Arabidopsis thaliana: one gene and its partners. The protein of the gene in region 1 interacts with the protein of each later gene in a biochemical or structural test. Each region holds a gene or a part of one and is shown in the gene's direction. Other genes may lie near its edges. The genes, in order: MYB42, MPK7, MPK2 and ATMPK8.

The links.
Region 2: of the proteins of MYB42 (region 1) and MPK7, one has a biochemical effect on the other in vitro, tested with the Arabidopsis thaliana proteins (one large-scale study listed by BioGRID).
Region 3: of the proteins of MYB42 (region 1) and MPK2, one has a biochemical effect on the other in vitro, tested with the Arabidopsis thaliana proteins (one large-scale study listed by BioGRID).
Region 4: of the proteins of MYB42 (region 1) and ATMPK8, one has a biochemical effect on the other in vitro, tested with the Arabidopsis thaliana proteins (one large-scale study listed by BioGRID).

What each region holds. Positions count from the first base shown.
Region 1 is NC_003075.7:7,322,959-7,327,534, forward strand, and holds MYB42 (myb domain protein 42), read left to right. Parts: upstream 1-1,797; 5' UTR 1,798-1,953; coding exon 1,954-2,216; intron 2,217-3,080; coding exon 3,081-3,678; 3' UTR 3,679-3,909; downstream 3,910-4,576.
Region 2 is NC_003071.7:7,907,204-7,911,819, reverse strand, and holds MPK7 (MAP kinase 7), read left to right. Parts: upstream 1-1,779; 5' UTR 1,780-2,103; intron 2,104-2,438; 5' UTR 2,439-2,445; coding exon 2,446-2,868; intron 2,869-2,958; coding exon 2,959-3,642; 3' UTR 3,643-4,046; downstream 4,047-4,616. Other genes in the region: AT2G18180 (Sec14p-like phosphatidylinositol transfer family protein), read left to right, coding at 1-52, 149-549, 641-766. UniProt on the Arabidopsis thaliana protein: MKK3-MPK7 module acts as a positive regulator of PR1 gene expression.
Region 3 is NC_003070.9:21,882,200-21,886,577, forward strand, and holds MPK2 (mitogen-activated protein kinase homolog 2), read left to right. Parts: upstream 1-1,818; 5' UTR 1,819-2,008; intron 2,009-2,310; 5' UTR 2,311-2,321; coding exon 2,322-2,744; intron 2,745-2,836; coding exon 2,837-3,544; 3' UTR 3,545-3,852; downstream 3,853-4,378. Other genes in the region: ZCF61 (E3 Ubiquitin ligase family protein), read left to right, coding at 40-135, 212-352, 441-506, 582-694, 781-912, 999-1,042, 1,150-1,228, 1,331-1,433.
Region 4 is NC_003070.9:6,243,636-6,249,633, reverse strand, and holds ATMPK8 (Protein kinase superfamily protein), read left to right. Parts: upstream 1-1,821; 5' UTR 1,822-1,968; exon of another isoform or gene 1,969-2,042; 5' UTR 2,043-2,051; coding exon 2,052-2,318; intron 2,319-2,545; coding exon 2,546-2,948; intron 2,949-3,040; coding exon 3,041-3,168; intron 3,169-3,270; coding exon 3,271-3,330; intron 3,331-3,488; coding exon 3,489-3,638; intron 3,639-3,750; coding exon 3,751-3,906; intron 3,907-3,997; coding exon 3,998-4,135; intron 4,136-4,249; coding exon 4,250-4,323; intron 4,324-4,410; coding exon 4,411-4,527; intron 4,528-4,617; coding exon 4,618-4,816; intron 4,817-4,915; coding exon 4,916-4,993; 3' UTR 4,994-5,336; downstream 5,337-5,998. Other genes in the region: AT1G18160 (Protein kinase superfamily protein), read right to left, coding at 20-508. UniProt on the Arabidopsis thaliana protein: MKK3-MPK8 and CAMs-MPK8 modules negatively regulates ROS accumulation through controlling expression of the RBOHD gene during wounding.

The sequences.
Region 1 (4,576 bases):
ACCCTTCGCCAGAGTTTTCTCTAAACAAAACGTTGTACTTCTTCTAACACAGACTAATCACGCATGTTTTTACAATATTATAAAAAAATGAATTAATTTGGGAAAAGCCCTCTACAGCTAAACTTACAAGTCAGTCACCCATGAAGTGGGAAAGTTTTACAACATAAATTAGATTTAGTTCTGTATACGTACGTGTCAAATAGGTGTTCGTCTTTATAATTTTTCCGTATAGACAACATGCAAAGATATATTACTATAACTCTATAAGATAGCTTATTTGTTAATTAGCCACACGTGTATAAACGTACGACTACGAACAAAAATGTTTACTTACTTTTTGCGGTATTGTCCACGGCAATGCCTAAACTAAGACAACTTCATAACCTTTGACGATGTTAGATTTCGAACACTAATTGTATATTGTTTTTATCGAAAAATCTTTACTATAATAAGTTTTTGTATCAGTAGCAACTAGCAAGTGTCTTTTGTATGTTATTGTGTGTTCAGCTAATTTTAGGATCAACTGTTTTAATAATAAAATATTCCTTTCCAAAGCATTAGGATTTACAAAATTTACCATTCAATCAATGGTTTACACTAAGTCTGAATCACATGCTAAATATATATGCATACCTTCCTATATTTGTTTCATCAAAACATATTCTAATTGAATTTAAACTTTCATTTTGGTGTTAAAGTTCTACTGGTCGTACGCGTGTACATTCGCAGGTATGTACCCTATCATTTCACATTAGTTCAAAAGTCATTTTCAGTTTTCACCAACCAATTAATCAAGGTTTTCCAACACTCCTCAGTTTTCGTAAAATGATATTAATTAAACAACTATAATTAAAATCCATAACAATGATTTATTTTAGACAAAAACATTAACTTTTTTTCTTCACCAAAATGATTTGATCATAAGAAATCGTATATATATCGAGAAAGAAACATTTCTATCGACATTAACAATTCTGTGAAGTATATATATATACGATTTCTAGTTTATCCTCCAAAATGTTTTAATCATCTCACCATCACAAGTTAGTTTATGCACGCATGTGATGTATAAATATTTTATACGTGAAAATGAACCATGCATATATATTATTGTTAGGTATACTGTATACATAGAATATTGATCATCATAAGAAAGGTACAAATTTAATTTCTTGGAAATTGTTGAAATTTCCCCATCACACATACCATATTAATTACCATGTATTTATTTTTTAAAACTATACGTATTCTGGATAATTACTTTTATATATGTATTCAGGTTGTTAATTCAAGTAAATCAAATAACATGTGATGCGTATACCTTAGACGTCGTATATTTCTGTATAGTTACTTTATACCAAAAGCCTATATAATTTATGAACCTAAAGCCTAAAGAATGTTTGCAATAATCTGGCTAATACTCACCATACTTAAATATTTAGATCGTATTTCGTTCTTCTGTACTCTATACACATTTTGTTGGAAGGAAGAATTTTTATTATTACTAAGATCGAACCAAATATTTATATTTTAGCATCTGATATATAATATAATCATGAAAATATTTGATCTAATCATATTATAAAATATTCAATTAACTGCAATCTATGCAATTATAATGATTACTTCCCACGAACAATAATGATTGAATTAAAGAAGATGATTTTAACAATAAATTCCTAACAAAACATATAGCGTCATTAACTATTTGGTTTCACTACTCACCTAAGTGGGTCAAATGAGATACTAATTTTCTAACTAAAATAAAAAATATGTGGTGAATGATGTAAGAAATACTTGGGTTATATATAGGTGGGTGAGCTTAGGTGCTTATAGGCTTTTGACAGAAATCTTCTAATTGGTATATACTTTCTACTTTCAAAATATTTAAGGTCTCATCTCTCTCTCTCAAATTAACACACAAAACATATATAAACAGTCAAATATAAATTAATGGGAAGGCAGCCATGTTGTGACAAGCTCATGGTGAAGAAGGGGCCGTGGACGGCGGAGGAAGACAAGAAACTGATAAACTTTATCTTGACCAACGGCCACTGTTGCTGGAGGGCTTTGCCGAAGCTGGCCGGTCTCCGTCGCTGTGGGAAGAGCTGCCGTCTACGGTGGACCAATTATCTCCGACCTGACTTGAAGAGAGGTCTTCTCTCCGACGCCGAGGAACAGCTTGTCATCGACCTTCATGCTCTTCTCGGCAACAGGTTTGAGCTTGTTTTAACCTTGTATTTCGTTTATATGTAATTGATCATTTGTTATATATTTTTACTACACATTATTAAACATGCATTAACTAAGCCGAATTTGTTAGTAATCTTTTTTTTAACAACAACATGAATTACGGATATAAATCCAAATATCGACAGCACGAGGATATTATCATAAACAACAAGGCTATATTCCAAAAAACAATTTTCGGTAGGAATGTTAAGTACTATATGCCAAATTTCACCAATATATTGTATCATATGCATGTTGTTAGCTAATTATGTATTTACCAAAAATGGTTAATCTTCTACATATAATCATATGATTGTCATCATTATAGTCATATAACCCGAGGTTAAATAACGTTCACCTATACTTATATACAAATAATAATAAAAATTAGTCAATTCTAAGATGTTACTTTTTGTGAAACACAGTAAAAAAACTATTAACATATATGTTGACTAATGATAAATGCTGTAGAAAATGTATTTGTGATGTACAATTGAAAATTAATCCATAATATTTTAATATAAGATAATGTATGGATCATTTGAGACTGAATAGTTTTATAAGAAAACGATATATCTTAATTCAGTTTCCTTTCTTTGAATTAAAGTCTTCTAAATATTTGTATAAAAAAGTTGTACATCTTATTTCAACTTCGAGACAAAGTAACGTTCCTCGTTTCCAAATAGAATATCATAGCGTATATATATTGTCAACTTTCTTGTGTTAGATTCCAAGACACAAGACTTTGACATCTCCACCAACACCTAGCTCAAATCATTATTTTTCAAAGGTAAACATATTCAATGTAACTAAACATATTTCTTAAAATTCTTTTTATGTATATATAGATGGTCCAAGATCGCTGCAAGATTACCAGGAAGAACAGACAACGAAATAAAAAATCATTGGAATACTCATATCAAGAAGAAGCTCCTTAAGATGGAAATCGATCCTTCGACCCATCAACCTTTAAACAAAGTATTTACCGATACAAACTTAGTCGATAAATCTGAAACTTCATCGAAAGCCGACAATGTAAATGATAATAAAATCGTAGAGATCGATGGGACAACGACAAATACAATAGATGATAGCATTATCACTCATCAAAATAGTTCAAATGATGATTATGAATTACTTGGTGATATAATTCATAATTATGGAGATTTATTTAATATTCTATGGACCAACGATGAACCTCCTCTAGTCGATGATGCATCATGGAGCAATCATAACGTTGGTATTGGAGGAACAGCTGCAGTTGCAGCCTCAGACAAGAACAACACTGCTGCCGAGGAAGATTTCCCGGAAAGATCATTTGAAAAACAGAACGGCGAAAGTTGGATGTTCTTGGATTATTGCCAAGAATTTGGTGTTGAAGATTTTGGGTTCGAGTGTTACCATGGTTTTGGTCAAAGCTCCATGAAGACGGGTCACAAGGACTAGCATTTGCAAGAATACATAACATATATACCGATATACTACATAATATGTGTATATAATTTATACGTACGCATCATAAAAGTAATGTAAGAAAAATCATGTAAAGCAGTAAAGAAGCACCATGGTTTTTTCAAAGTCTAATATTAGGGGAACAGAAAAAGGATCACTAGGAGTTATAGTAAGAGTTATTGACTTATTTCCCTATCTTTTATGTCTGTTTCCTGCATTTATTTCAAATTATAATTAGTTCAACCCAACAGTTTTTTCGCCTTGATTTTAAATTCTGTTTTGTATAAATTTAATAATTTATGCTAGGATATCCTTCATTAAATTGATTAAAAATATTGGTAGTCAAATTTTTCTATGTTGATCAGGATTGATTTTTAGAGTAAGTCCATGATTTATTAAATCAACCGGAAAATACAGAGCTTTTTTTTAATTTGTAAAATCGTTGTAAAAAATAATTTTGTTGAATTTGGTGTTCCCCAATAAATTAAAGATGAATTTGGTGTTCCCCAAAATATATAACTATTTGATGATAATTAATTTCAGCGACTTTGATAAAATTTATCTGTGAATTTGAATGATCTCATGATAAAAGTTTACCAAAATTCTAAATTTACAAAACCATCTGGACAACTAAGCTTCTTGTTTATATCTGTTTTATCATTGGCCAGATAATAACACACAAATATGAATTGAGAAAGTAATAAATATATTGCCAGTTTTTTTTTTTTGAAGCTATCATTTTACGTGGATACAAAAAAGACTTGGTGTGTATATTATTATCATTAAATAATAAAAAATCGATATTGAAATTTATTATTTATGTGAAAGAGTTCAAAAATGGACATCTCTACATCACATCCTGGCGGAATCAATTGTCACAACTCACAACAAT
Region 2 (4,616 bases), on another chromosome or scaffold:
GCTCATCCAGCTTGGAACATACCAGAAGCTCACAAATTTTCCCTCTCAAAAAGTATAAGAGATCATGTGCAAATTACACTACTAAAGAGACAAATACTACTCCTTTTTAAAAGAACTTGAATTTAAGTACTTCTCTGTTTTTGAACAGGGGATGTTTACGCCATTCAAGAAGCTTGCAAAGCTACAAATGAAAGTGGAAGGTCTCCTATTTTCACTGGAGTCATGGCTTTTGTAATGGGTGTAGTCACCATGATTAGAGTGACTAAAAACGTTCCAAGGAAGCTAACCGAGTCAACTATATACTCTAGCCCGGTTTACTGCGACGAAAACTCGATGAACAAGAGCTCGATGCATGGGAAGAAAATGGCAACAACAACCATCTCAGGGGAAGATTTCATGGCGGTCATGAAACGAATGGCTGAGCTTGAGCAGAAAGTCACAAACTTGAGTGCACAGCCAGCAACTATGCCTCCTGAAAAGGAAGAGATGCTTAATGCTGCCATTAGCCGAGCCGATTTCTTGGAACAAGAACTTGCTGCAACCAAGAAGGTAACACAAAACAAAAAAAACTTTCATATATATTACTGATTTGTTCTCAGCTTTCACTATCTCACACTAAAGAGTTGTTGTATCTTCACAGGCTCTTGATGATTCTCTTACCCGACAAGAGGACCTTGTGGCATACGTTGAGAGAAAGAAGAAGAAGAAGAAGCTGGTCCGCTTTCAAATCAATGCCTACTTAACTAATTTTTGTTTTGGTGTTTAAAATGGTGTTCTGTTTTACTTTTTATCTCCATGTGCAGTTCACTTGGTAAGTGAGGAACATGAGGAAGAAGAAGCCTCTAGTGGAGTTAGAGGTGGCCAATGCACTCATGTCATTAACTTAAATCTTACAGTCACATTAAAATTAAGAGAATCTCCAAAGAAAGAATTTTGTTATGTCTCTGTATATATATATCATCCTTAGATGTTACCACTTATCCGCATCATATGCGAGATCATGTTTGATTTGTACAAAAGAAAACAATGAATTTATAAGAAATATATTTTGTAAAGTAGTTTTGTACAAAAGATTAGTGTGCAAACATTTTTAACATCAACGTATAAAATTCAAGTACACTTTATATAAACTAAATTACTAGGGTTGAAGATGAATTGGGGCTTGATGGTTTGGAGAGACAGAATCTTCGAAGATCTATGGAGAAACTCAAAGTTGATTGATAATCTGCGTTCGTCAACTGATAGGTTTACTCAACCATTTGCCACTCAAATTAGTTATGTCATCATCTGATGTTAAATCCATCAGCCACACTTATCCTTTTTTTAATCTAATCCTCAAACCTCTCCGAAAGAGACAGAAGGTCTTCAAACCAAGAGTGGTTTTGTAGTTGACCACTTTTTGAGGCTTTTAAGTTAGGTTTAACTACACCCAGTGGAAACTTCGGTTCGGACAACAACAAGAAGTTGCTCCCAATCTACGTTTACCACGTGTCACTTTTTCAGTCCACCCACGTGCTTAGCCGGTTACTTGATCCATTTAAATCCTCAATTTCTGTATTCGTGTACGTATATTATACCAAGACAAATTCTACTTAATAAATATCTTACTCAATCTTTTTAATTAATTACAAAAATTCCTATGCATTATTTTTTTCTAATTACCAAATATAGTAATAACAATCCTGATTTGTATGCAAAAAAAAAACATGAAGAGTCCATTAAACTTTAGAGATTTTTTAATTAAAGATAGTTTGTAACTGAAGTTTTGTTACACAAAAAATATCTAATCTAAAAAGAATGTCGTTTTCGTAATTAGAAGACTTTGTAATTTGTTTTTTTCCTAAAAAACGAAAAGAAGTAACCAAAGCTTCTTCATCAACCAACGTATTTTGCTTCCTTTCTTCTTCTTCTTCTTCCTCTTCCCCTAACATTCCATTCCCCGTATGGGTCTCACCACTTCCTAACTCTTCTCTCTCTTATCTCTTCTTGTTTTAGCTATGAAGAAGCAATCTCAATTCAGATCCAATCATACCCTTCTCTTCTTTCATCTCTGATCATTAACAACAACAACAACGACTCGGGTTCTGTAAATTCAGTTATTGGGTATGTTCGATCTCTTGTTCTGTTTCTTCTCTTTATTCATTTAGCTTGTTTTAACTCTTAATTTTTGAGTTTTGATTATGATTAATCAAGAGTTATCATATTAAAAAGAGAATTTTTATAACCAAAGTTTGCTTTTTTCTTATGGAGTAGTAAGATTGATAGCTAAGTAAAGGAAACGATATTAAAAAGAGAATTTTTCTTAGTTGAATTTCACTTTTTGGAGACGTAAAGGAGAAAAAAGCTTCAATGATTCATAAATCGAAAATTCTCTATAAACCCTTTTCCAAAATCTTACCAATTTAGGGGAAAAATACTGAAAGTTTTGGTTTTTGCAGAGAGAAAATGGCGATGTTAGTTGAGCCACCAAATGGGATTAAGCAACAAGGGAAACATTACTACTCCATGTGGCAAACATTGTTCGAAATCGATACAAAGTATGTTCCGATTAAACCCATTGGAAGAGGAGCTTATGGTGTGGTTTGTTCTTCTATCAATCGTGAGACTAATGAGAGAGTTGCTATTAAAAAGATTCACAATGTGTTTGAGAATCGTGTTGATGCTTTGAGAACGTTGAGGGAACTTAAACTTCTTAGGCATGTGAGGCATGAGAATGTGATCGCGCTTAAAGATGTTATGTTGCCTGCTAATAGATCCAGTTTCAAGGATGTTTATTTGGTTTATGAGCTAATGGATACTGATCTTCATCAGATTATTAAATCCTCTCAGTCTCTTTCTGATGATCACTGCAAGTACTTCTTGTTTCAGGTAACTTTAAGTCCTTCCTCGGTAACTCTATGTTTCGAGTTTTGTATGTTTAGTTATTGAAATAAGTCTTGTTCTTGTTGTTGTGTTTAGTTGCTTAGAGGGTTGAAGTATCTTCATTCTGCAAACATACTTCACCGGGATTTGAAGCCCGGGAACCTCTTAGTTAATGCGAACTGCGATCTCAAGATTTGTGATTTCGGGTTGGCGAGAACGAGCCAAGGTAATGAACAGTTCATGACTGAGTATGTGGTTACACGTTGGTACAGAGCACCTGAGCTTCTTCTTTGTTGTGATAACTATGGAACCTCCATTGATGTATGGTCGGTTGGTTGCATATTCGCGGAGATTCTTGGTAGGAAACCGATTTTTCCAGGAACAGAATGCTTGAATCAGCTTAAGCTAATCATCAACGTTGTTGGTAGCCAACAAGAATCTGATATTCGGTTCATAGACAACCCGAAAGCTCGAAGGTTTATAAAGTCTCTTCCGTACTCAAGAGGAACTCATCTCTCCAATCTTTATCCACAAGCCAATCCTCTAGCTATAGATTTGTTACAGAGGATGCTTGTGTTTGATCCAACCAAGAGAATCTCTGTAACCGATGCGCTCTTACACCCGTATATGGCGGGGTTGTTTGATCCTGGATCCAATCCGCCTGCACATGTCCCAATCTCTCTGGACATAGATGAAAACATGGAGGAACCAGTGATAAGAGAGATGATGTGGAATGAGATGCTTTATTACCACCCTGAAGCTGAAATCTCAAATGCCTAAATCAACATCAATGATCATTAAGAGTAAGCTTTTTCCAGTTTTTTTTTTTTTTGCTTTCTAAAATGCAGCTTTGATGTTATGTTATATATAGCGAGTCCACAAACGCGGGAACAGATCGATAAAAAGCCCGGTGCTTTGATCTCGTCTGGTTTGATTTAGTTGCAGTGAGTGAGTAGTAGTAACAGAGTTTGAAAAGTGGCTCTCAGTATCTTTACCACTTTGTAAATGTGACTGTTTGTTACTAAGTAAGTTAAGGCTTGTTTTTGTTACATTATCTTTGAGTTGATGAGTTTTACTACTGATTTTCAGGCCAACTCTTGTATTTTGTATAGCTTTGCCATTGCCCACTTGCTAGCCACACGAAATAATTTTTTATAGTTTAGATACTCTCATACTATAAAGTATAAACTAATAAAAGTATAGATGTTATTTTCTCTAGTTTTTATCCTACCTTTAAAAAGCCGCCAAACATGTTTTCAATTCATTATAAGGGAAGATTGGATAATGTGTCACTTCATATTTTTCGTTCTTTTTAGTACTACCAAAACAATTTCAGAATATATTAGTAATCTTATAAATAATGATCTAAGGAAGTGTGCTATTTTTTTCAGTTCCAATATGAAGACTAGTGTGTTTTAAAAATACTTTATTTTATAAGTGTATTTATTTCAAAGGTGAATTAGCTAAATAACCAATTCCTGAAAAGAAATTAAATATCTAGCACCATAAGTTGCCGAATTCAGAGAGTAACACATGAGGTGTGTGTAATGACAACACACTCTTTCACCACACACTCCTTCACCCAACTCTTTCATTCATGTTTAAGGCGCGTGAAGAAAACAGAAGTGTAGTGAATTATGCTGACGTGGTCTTTTAAGGAACAATAAAAGTTTAAGTTATGTTGAGAAGAGAAAAGAGAAATATGATTAAAATATGTTCACCCTTTTTAATATTGTTTACTATATTATGTTAAC
Region 3 (4,378 bases), on another chromosome or scaffold:
GTGATTTTGGATATGTTAAAAAGAAACGATTTTTTTCAGGCAGAACAACAGGTTTTGAGACGTAATTGGAGATTTTCATGGGTTCGAAATAGTACATTGATGCAGCCGATGACTAAGGAAGTCCCCTGGTATCTGGTATGTCTGTTGGACTTTGATTGGAGTGTATTACTTTCTAAAGTCATTTACAAAATATGATATTGGTTGCCTATAGGACGACGGGACAGGTCGTGTGAATGTAGATGTATCTCAAGGTGAATTAGGCTTGGCGTTGACGGTTGGTAGTGATGTATTTGAAAAGGCAGAGCCGGTATCGCTTGTTCAAGGAGCGTTGGGTTATCTTAAAGGCTTTAAGGTCTTTTCTTTTCCTTTCCTACCACTTTTCATTGATTTGCTTTTGTTTTGACAATGCTTATACATTGTGGCACCATTGTTGTCTATAGATACTTGGAGTAAGACACGTTGAGCGTGTTGTCCCAATTGGTACACCGCTTACAGTTGTTGGTGAGGTATGTCTTTTATCTGTTAGCGGTCCAAAATACGTTTTATATCTCTCTTTGTTATGTTGCTTACCATGTTAACAGGCTGTTAGGGATGGCATGGGGAATGTCAGGATTCAAAAACCTGAGCAAGGACCTTTCTACGTCACTTATATACCGCTAGATCAGCTCATCTCTAAATTGGGAGATTTGTCAAGGTTGTTTCTTTTCTCTGTTTTTGCCTATTCTTTTCTTCGAAAACTATGATTGAAAAAAATTCTAAAAGATCTCTTTCTTTTGGCAGGAGGTTCAAGTATGCCTCCATGGGTTTAACTGTTCTTGGTGTGATTCTTATTTCAAAGCCTGTGATTGAATATATTCTAAAGAGAATTGAAGATACTCTAGAAAGAAGGCGGCGACAATTCGCACTGAAAAGGTATGACGCACCCTAACCACAGCCACGTATGAAGTATTCATTGCGAGTTGCGAGTTGCGAGTTAAGTGTTGGGTAACTTGTTGCAGAGTTGTTGATGCAGCTGCTAGGAGAGCCAAACCAGTAACTGGAGGTAGTAATAGTATCTATCCATTAGAGTTTGTACTTTGTAGTAGTAACATGTGAATCCTTTTTCTGCATACACTTGGAATTGCTCTGCTTACAAAAACGTCTTACCAGGTGGTACAAGCAGAGATGGTGATACACCTGATCTCTGTGTGGTTTGCCTTGACCAGAAGTATAACACCGCTTTTGTTGAGTAAGTATAAGACCGCTTTTCTTCTAAAAGCTCTTGAAAACCCTCTCACTGATCAAACATGGCATCTTTTGATTCCTCTTTTTGTTTGGTTTGGACTTGTAGGTGTGGTCATATGTGCTGCTGCACACCATGCTCCTTGCAACTAAGGACCTGTCCTCTTTGCCGGGAACGAATACAACAAGTTTTGAAAATTTACCGCCATTGAAGGACAAAACTCAGAACGATTTTTACAAGCGAACAATTACTAGTCTTGTACATATAGTAAAGCCTTTGTATCATGAGTTTTTGACTAGAAATTTTTTTGCATTGATAGATTGTGATTGAACAAATGCTAATATAAATTTCAAGCTTAGATTTACATTTACTAATGAAGTTATATAATCACGTTTCGATGTTAAAATAAGAAGTGAAAAAACGTGAACGGCAGGATTCGAACCTGCGCGGGCAAAGCCCACATGATTTCTAGTCATGCCCGATAACCACTCCGGCACGTCCACTTTTTGTTAATTCCTCACTATCTTAAATATCTAATTACCGTTAATTATTACAAATCAGGTTGGGCTTAATTAAGCCCAAAGTTAAAGACAGATTAGTGAAGGAGACAGAGAAAGAAACAGCTCTAAAATGGTAATGAACGAGAAACTAGAGAGTCAACGGTCATAGCGTTGACCAAATCTCTCACTCTCACCAGCCAAATCTCTCCAACTTCCTCTTTCTCTCCACCCAAATCTCGCCGGCGATCGTCACTGACGAATCTGATTCGTCCCCAACACTCAACGGGTAAGCTCTCTCTGCAAAATTCAGATCGTTCTAGCTCAATCTCAACATCGGATCAAGATTCAACTTTTGTTCTTTTCTCTTAAACAAAGCTTTTGATCATTAGTGAAATCTAAAATATTAACCTTTGAATCTGTAAACTTAAGCTTAGAGAACCCTAAGATCAAAACTAAAAATTTGATCTTTCATTGTCACTTGTTGGAAGCAATTCAAAATTCTGTGTTGTGTATATTTTCAAATTTGTGGATTGTTCCAATTTCGATAAAGTTTTGATTTTTATTCCTTTTGTTGTGTGTTTTTATAAGGAGGTAGAAGAATGGCGACTCCTGTTGATCCACCTAATGGAATTAGGAATCAAGGGAAGCATTACTTCTCAATGTGGCAAACACTTTTCGAGATCGATACCAAATACGTGCCTATCAAACCGATAGGCCGAGGCGCGTACGGTGTGGTTTGCTCTTCGGTTAACAGAGAGAGTAATGAGAGAGTGGCGATCAAGAAGATCCACAATGTGTTTGAGAATAGGATTGATGCGTTGAGGACTCTTAGGGAGCTCAAGCTTCTACGTCATCTTCGACATGAGAATGTGGTTGCTCTTAAAGATGTAATGATGGCTAATCATAAGAGAAGCTTTAAGGATGTTTATCTTGTTTATGAGCTTATGGATACTGATCTTCATCAGATTATTAAGTCTTCTCAAGTTCTAAGTAATGACCATTGCCAATACTTCTTGTTCCAGGTATGTGATTTGTTTGCATTTGCTTTTACCATTAGTGTGTGTTGTTTGCATTTGGTGTTTGCATTTACTTGCTTTTTATTTCTTTTGCATAGTTGCTTCGAGGGCTCAAGTATATTCATTCAGCAAACATTCTCCATCGGGATCTGAAACCCGGTAACCTCCTTGTGAATGCAAACTGCGACTTAAAGATATGTGACTTTGGGCTAGCGAGGACGAGCAACACCAAAGGTCAGTTCATGACTGAATATGTTGTGACTAGATGGTACCGAGCACCAGAGCTACTCCTCTGTTGTGACAACTATGGAACCTCCATTGATGTCTGGTCAGTCGGTTGCATATTCGCCGAGCTTCTTGGAAGAAAACCAGTATTCCCGGGAACAGAATGTCTAAACCAGATTAAACTCATCATTAACATTTTGGGTAGCCAGAGAGAGGAAGATCTCGAGTTTATAGATAACCCAAAAGCCAAAAGATACATAGAATCACTCCCTTACTCACCAGGGATATCATTCTCTCGTCTTTACCCGGGTGCAAATGTTTTAGCCATTGATCTGCTTCAGAAAATGCTCGTTCTTGACCCTTCGAAAAGGATTAGTGTCACGGAAGCGCTTCAACATCCTTACATGGCGCCTTTATATGACCCGAGTGCAAATCCTCCTGCTCAAGTTCCTATTGATCTCGATGTAGATGAAGACGAGGATTTGGGAGCAGAGATGATAAGAGAATTAATGTGGAAGGAAATGATTCATTATCATCCAGAAGCTGCTACCATAAACAACAATGAGGTCTCTGAGTTTTGAGATCAAGTCTTTTGCAGGTACTGTTCAGAGAGATCTTTCAACAACTTAAACTTATTTATTTTCATGTTTGCTTCTTGAAATGTTGTTAATAATAGTGTCGAAGAAGAAGAACAATAACTTTAAATTATGTGATATGTTTGTGTCATGGAGCTTTGTTTTGTTTTTGGTTACAAGCTTAAGTGTCTGTAACGTTTGTACATAAGTGTATGTGTCCTTAAAACTTCATACTCTGTCTCTGATCTTATTGTTGGTGATTTTTCTTATTGAAGATTTTCGAATGTTCAAAGAGCAAACCATTGGATTAAATATGATTTTGAAGATAAATGTATTAACACAAAGATATACACTGTTTAAAAAAATTCATGAAATAAAACATATGCATAGAATATCAAAATAAAATTATTTGGGAAATAATTTTCAATGATACATAGAATGTTCCATAGATTCGTAGAATTTTTATAAATGTGTTTTTGACTTTCATGTACCTAATTCTGAATTCAGACTTAGTATATTGTGACATTAATAGAAGTATTAATTGCTTTGTTTGATAAAAATATTTTGATGTCTATCACACACTTAAATTTAACTTAAATGATAGAAAAAATGTCAATAATTAGTAACATTTATGCTTTGGAAAAATATTTTGATGAACAGCGTGTGAATAAGAATCTTTTTTTACTTTTGTAAATGGAAAAATGTAGGACTGCACTAATTATTGAAACCATTGATGTGAAAAAAAAATCAAGAGCCAAAGAGATAAAGATTCTAGAAGACCAAGTCAAGTCTTCTCGTCGATTAATAGTCAATGAATGTTCCTCATCATCATCTCTTTGA
Region 4 (5,998 bases), on another chromosome or scaffold:
CAATGAGTTAAAAACTCACCCAATATCTATATGCCATGAGTTCAGCTGGAGTATTCTCGGGAGCAGAAGGACGAGAACCTAAGCTGAACTGCTTCATAGCCTCAATCTGAGCAGCTTCAGGATCCTCCCTAGCACTTAACTCTAGAGCCAACTGTATCTGATATTCTTCTTCAACTTCTGGATCCTTGGAATTACTACTAGAACCCAAACCCTGCATCCCAGATTCCGACCCAACGGGACCACCATGTTCCATGGTAGTGTCATCCTCTTTGCTATTGGTGGCATTGGAAGAAGAAGGGCTTTTCCTGTGAGTAACAGAGCTTAACCAATTTGATAAACCCAAAAAGGGTTTGAATTCAGAGTTATCTTGAGACCTCAATGAATCAGAAGGAGATGGTTCTGCATCACTAGACTTATTGCTTCTGTTAGAGACTGAACCTTCACCATCGTCTCGTTGATTGGGCGTGATACGAAGCTTTTTGAGAAATTTCTTCATGTTCATCTTCATACTCCAAATGTTAGAGCAGCGAACATCGACCCGAAAACTCCTTCATCCCTCGAATACACAGAAAAACGAGAACTTTGTGCTAAAACCCTAATTCCTTGGTACCACGACCCGGAGATCTGGAACTCCGTCCAGATCAACGGCTCGTCAAAATCTAATAACTGCAGCAAAAGAATTCTCGAGAAAACCTTAAATCGGAATCCAAATCAAGTAGCAAGACTCTCAATGGAGATCAGATTTCGATTTCAAGAAAATACTTTTTTTTTTTATCTCCGGAGCTGATCAAAAACCCAATAAGAGAAAGTTTGGAGCTTTTTTCTCAGCAAGTAAGCGAAGCCTCTTCCTTCTCTTTGACTCTCTCCTGAATTGAGAAAGTCCACAAAGACGCCACTTTCTCTCTCTTAAAGTCCGACAAAAGAAAATCAACTAAAAAAAACTTACGTAAAACAGAGTAGAGTAGATAGATAGATACGAGTATAGTAGAGGATGAAGAGTGGATTTTTGAGCTGGAGAGAATTGAATTTTGTTTTGCTTTTTTTTGCTACTGTAATTAAAAAATTACTCTATTTTTTGTACAATCAGTCAAAGCTTAATGCAAATATAGAGCTATTTAAAAACTTACCAATTCATTTTTAATGCAAATATATCATGCAAAACCGTACATTTTGTTAAAAAAAATAAGAAATGATAAATCGCAGAATTGTTTACGATCGTGCTTTCCATATTCAATATTCCTTCGCGTATCTGGATTTGTTTGATATCATTTATTCAAATAAAATTTTGTCTTTTTGGCTGAAAAAATGCTTCGCTCACCACCTTATGCATTATCCTCCCATGACATATCACATATATCATCAAGCGTATTATTCACTAAAAAATGCTTAGATTACGCTACTGTCGGATTCATTTATGACCCAATAACTATGATGTGCTCGAACCGCAACAGACTCCTGGACCTGCTCAGCTCATGATGAAATATATGTTCATATCATCAACGCGACCGAACGAGCAAGGCGTTTTTACTCTCTCTTTTTTTGTGTCTCAGATTCATAATTAGACTTTTAATTCCGGTTTGTAATGTAACATCTAACATCTTCTTAATTTCGAACCTTGTCCGGTTGAGTTTAATCCGTTTAGTGATTGAACGAAAATACATTTATTGTATGGGCCGCTTTGTAGGCCCATATACTCAATAAATGCATATGCCCGAATCAGGTTATCATTAACCGGTATAGACAAACCGGGTCGTCGAAATATTCCAAAGGTTTAAATATTTTGTTCTTCTCCCTCCACTCACTCTCTCTAATAATCAAGCAGGGGAAAAAAATAAATATCTGAGCATAAATAATGAAAAAAACATAAAAAGAAAATTAAAAAAAAAATGAAAAAATAGGAGAAGAACATGGTCTCCAACTCCGAAGGACAAAACCGAGAGACGCGGCGAGAAAGACGGTGACTTGACGGTAATTGTTTGGCTCTCAAGGAATTTCGGATACCCAATTTTGTAAATTACTAATCTTTTTCTTTTCTAATCTAGTAGTGGTCTATGGGTGGTGGTGGGAATCTCGTCGACGGTGTTCGTCGATGGCTTTTTCAGCGACCTTCTTCTTCTTCTTCTTCTTCTTCTTCCAACAATAATAATAATAATCACGAACAACCCATTTTCAATTCTTCTTCTTTCTCTTCTTCCTCTAACCCCAATCATTCCGCTAACTCTGGAGAGCTTATTATTGAAGAAGATCTCGATTTCTCTGGTCTAACGCTTATTAACGTTCCTAAACGTAATCATTTACCTATGGATCCTCACAAGAAGGTACCTTTCTTCTTCTCCTTCTCTACCCTTTTATGCTATTTGCTCTTAGATGTTGTCTTTTGATTGAGATTGAAGAGACTTGTTTTGTTCTCTTAATGTTCTGTGTTATTGCATTTGCTTCCACAAAAGGATAAAGTTTCAGTTTTGTGTTTCGTTTGATTGATCTTATTGTCTTGATCCATCATTTTGGTCAATTTTAAGTATGAATCATGAATAAAATTCTTCAGGGTGAAACTGAATTCTTCACGGAGTATGGAGAAGCTAACAGGTATCAGATTCAAGAGGTTGTTGGCAAAGGAAGTTATGGTGTTGTGGCTTCTGCTGTTGACTCACACACTGGAGAGAGAGTTGCGATCAAGAAGATCAACGATGTGTTTGAGCATGTCTCCGATGCTACTAGGATTCTCAGAGAGATCAAATTGCTTCGGTTGCTTCGTCATCCTGATGTTGTGGAGATTAAACACATCATGTTACCTCCTTCTCGCAGAGAATTCCGCGATATTTATGTTGTCTTTGAGTTGATGGAATCTGATCTTCATCAAGTGATCAAGGCGAATGATGATTTGACTCCTGAGCATTATCAGTTTTTCTTGTACCAGCTTCTTCGTGGTCTGAAATATGTTCACGCAGGTTAGTTTCTGGTTTTACACATTGGTCTCTTTCGATCCTCATGATTTTTGTTATAGATAATATTGAAACACTTAAGGGTTCTCTGTTTTCAGCTAATGTGTTTCATCGGGATTTGAAACCGAAGAACATTCTAGCTAATGCTGATTGCAAATTGAAGATCTGTGATTTTGGGCTGGCTCGCGTTTCTTTTAACGATGCCCCAACCGCTATATTTTGGACTGTGAGTCATCTAACTCAATGTGAAAGCAAAACTGTTCATTAGGCTTCCTCTTAACTATTTTCAAATGCTTGTGAGCTCATTTCGTTTATATGGATTTTGTAGGATTATGTAGCTACTCGGTGGTATCGTGCCCCTGAACTCTGTGGATCGTTTTTCTCCAAAGTAAGATTCTTTTTCACCAAACCCAACTACTCTTGCTATTTCTCCCTACCAGGAAAATGCTTCTAGTTTTCTATTTTGTAGAATATTGTTGTGTGGTTCTATAGTGTTGTTGAGAAGACCAGCCATCTCAAGCTAAGTCTACTCTTGTTATATTTCAGTATACCCCTGCGATTGATATCTGGAGTGTCGGTTGCATTTTTGCGGAAATGCTTTTGGGTAAGCCTTTGTTTCCCGGGAAAAACGTTGTGCACCAATTGGATCTAATGACTGACTTTCTTGGTACTCCACCTCCTGAGTCAATATCAAGGGTTAGTCACTCAAAACACTTGTTCATATTTTCTGTAGCAAATTTAATGTTCCATACATCATTGAGAGTAATTTAATCCTTGTAATGAGCTTTGCAATCTTGGACTTCTACAGATTAGAAATGAAAAGGCGAGGAGATATCTTAGCAGCATGAGGAAAAAACAACCAGTCCCTTTCTCTCATAAATTCCCTAAAGCTGATCCTTTGGCTCTCCGCCTTCTGGAACGCCTGCTTGCCTTTGATCCGAAAGATCGTGCATCAGCTGAAGATGTAAGTGAGAAGTAAATTTGCTTTACTTTTCCCTTTTGTTTTATACAGAACGAAACTCTTATATTCGTCGTTTTTGATTTTCATATTACAGGCACTAGCTGATCCATATTTCAGTGGTTTGTCAAATTCAGAGCGTGAACCAACAACACAGCCAATTTCAAAGCTTGAATTTGACTTTGAGAGAAAGAAGTTAGTTAAAGATGATGTCAGAGAATTAATTTACCGAGAGGTAACAAACAAACACAAAAGCCTTCTACATATATCCTTTTCTTTAATCTGAATTTGTTTCAATGTTATTCATTGATCCTAACAATCACTTTTCTTTGGATTTTGTAAATATCAGATATTGGAATATCATCCTCAGATGTTGGAGGAATACCTTCGTGGTGGTGATCAGCTTAGCTTTATGTACCCAAGGTTAGCTAATTAACAGTTAACAGAAACTATAAGTCTTGAAAACAGAAAGTTATGAACTCGATAAATCTTTTTGTTGTTTACGCGCAGTGGGGTAGACCGATTTAAAAGGCAATTTGCTCATCTTGAAGAAAATCAAGGTAAACCAGGAGCAGCAGGAGGAGGAAGAAGTACTGCACTTCACAGACATCATGCTTCCTTGCCAAGGTAATGTCTTTCACAGAATCTCTCTATCTCTTCTCTTCTCTTCTCAATCTCCCTCTGAGAGCATTGTGCTTCTCTATGATGATGTTGCAGAGAGAGAGTTCCTGCTCCAAATGGTGAAACTGCAGAAGAAAGCAGTGATGTTGAGAGAAGAGCAGCAGCTGCTGTGGCTTCAACCTTGGAATCCGAGGAAGCAGACAATGGAGGAGGTTACAGTGCTCGTAACCTCATGAAGAGTGCAAGCATCAGCGGTTCTAAATGCATTGGTGTCCAATCTAAAACTGACAAAGAGGTTAGTTAGTAAAGAAAGAAAGAAAGAAAAACAGAAGATCTTGAAAAGGAACATGACGATGAAGTTTGCTTACTGTTGTTCTTTTCTCTTTGTTTGCAGGATACCATAGCTGAGGAAGAAGATAATGAAACAGTTGCAGAGCTTACTGATAAAGTTGCTTCTCTTCACAATTCTTAAAAATGATTTAGTTATTTTTTTTCTTTTCTTTTCTTTTTTCACGAAAGTTTTCTGGTGAAAAGAAATTGGTTTCTCCATTCATCCACATCTATCTTCGTGGTTGGGTTTGATTTGTTGTATTTAATAGTTTTGGGGGTTTGATGAAACTTTAAATAAAAACATCGATCTCCATGTAATTTTTTTGTTTCTCTCTTTTCTTTAAACACTCATATTTTGAAATTATTTATATACTATTCAGTATTCACTTTGCTTCAGTACTTTGGGAGAGTTTGTGTGATTGGTATGATCCGGTCCAGGTCAAACCGGGATATTGGGTCTTATATAATAAATTATATTAACCTGAAGAACATACTCGACTTCTTAAAAGTAAAAAAGATAAGACTAAAAAATTAGCACACATAATAATAATGCTGTGTTAGTTGGCTTTTTAATGACGAAGACTAACCTAATATCTATTATTTATATTCCATGGTCCATCTGAATTGATACCATTCTTGGACTAATCTCATAACGACAAAATAAAATAAATAAAACGACAAAAAGAAGAAGAAAAAAAATGAACAAAATCGGGTTTTTGAAAAAGAGGTCAGAAATAATGGTATGGTCGAGTAAAGTGAGCTCCAGGGAGCTTACTCACCAACTCCAAACTACAGTCTCGATAAGAAAAAGAAACTGCAAAAAGTTGATGTATATATGGCGAACAAAGTCCACAGACGCCAGATTGGTTAAAGCAATTAGGCTACACTGTTTTTACATTATTTAGTAGAAATACTAATTGAATTTGTGCATGTTTAAAAGTGAAAAAAAACTAACATTATACTAATGGATCATGCCGCCAAACTTTGGAATTTGACTTCAAATTATGACCACTACAAATATAAATTAAAGAAAAAGTTGGTTTCATGTAAACTATAGGATCGTAAAGGAAGATTGTCACAAAACTCTTGACTAATAAAATTGGAAGTTAAAATGTCCGAAGAAAAGTTATATTACAAGTCTTTTCTA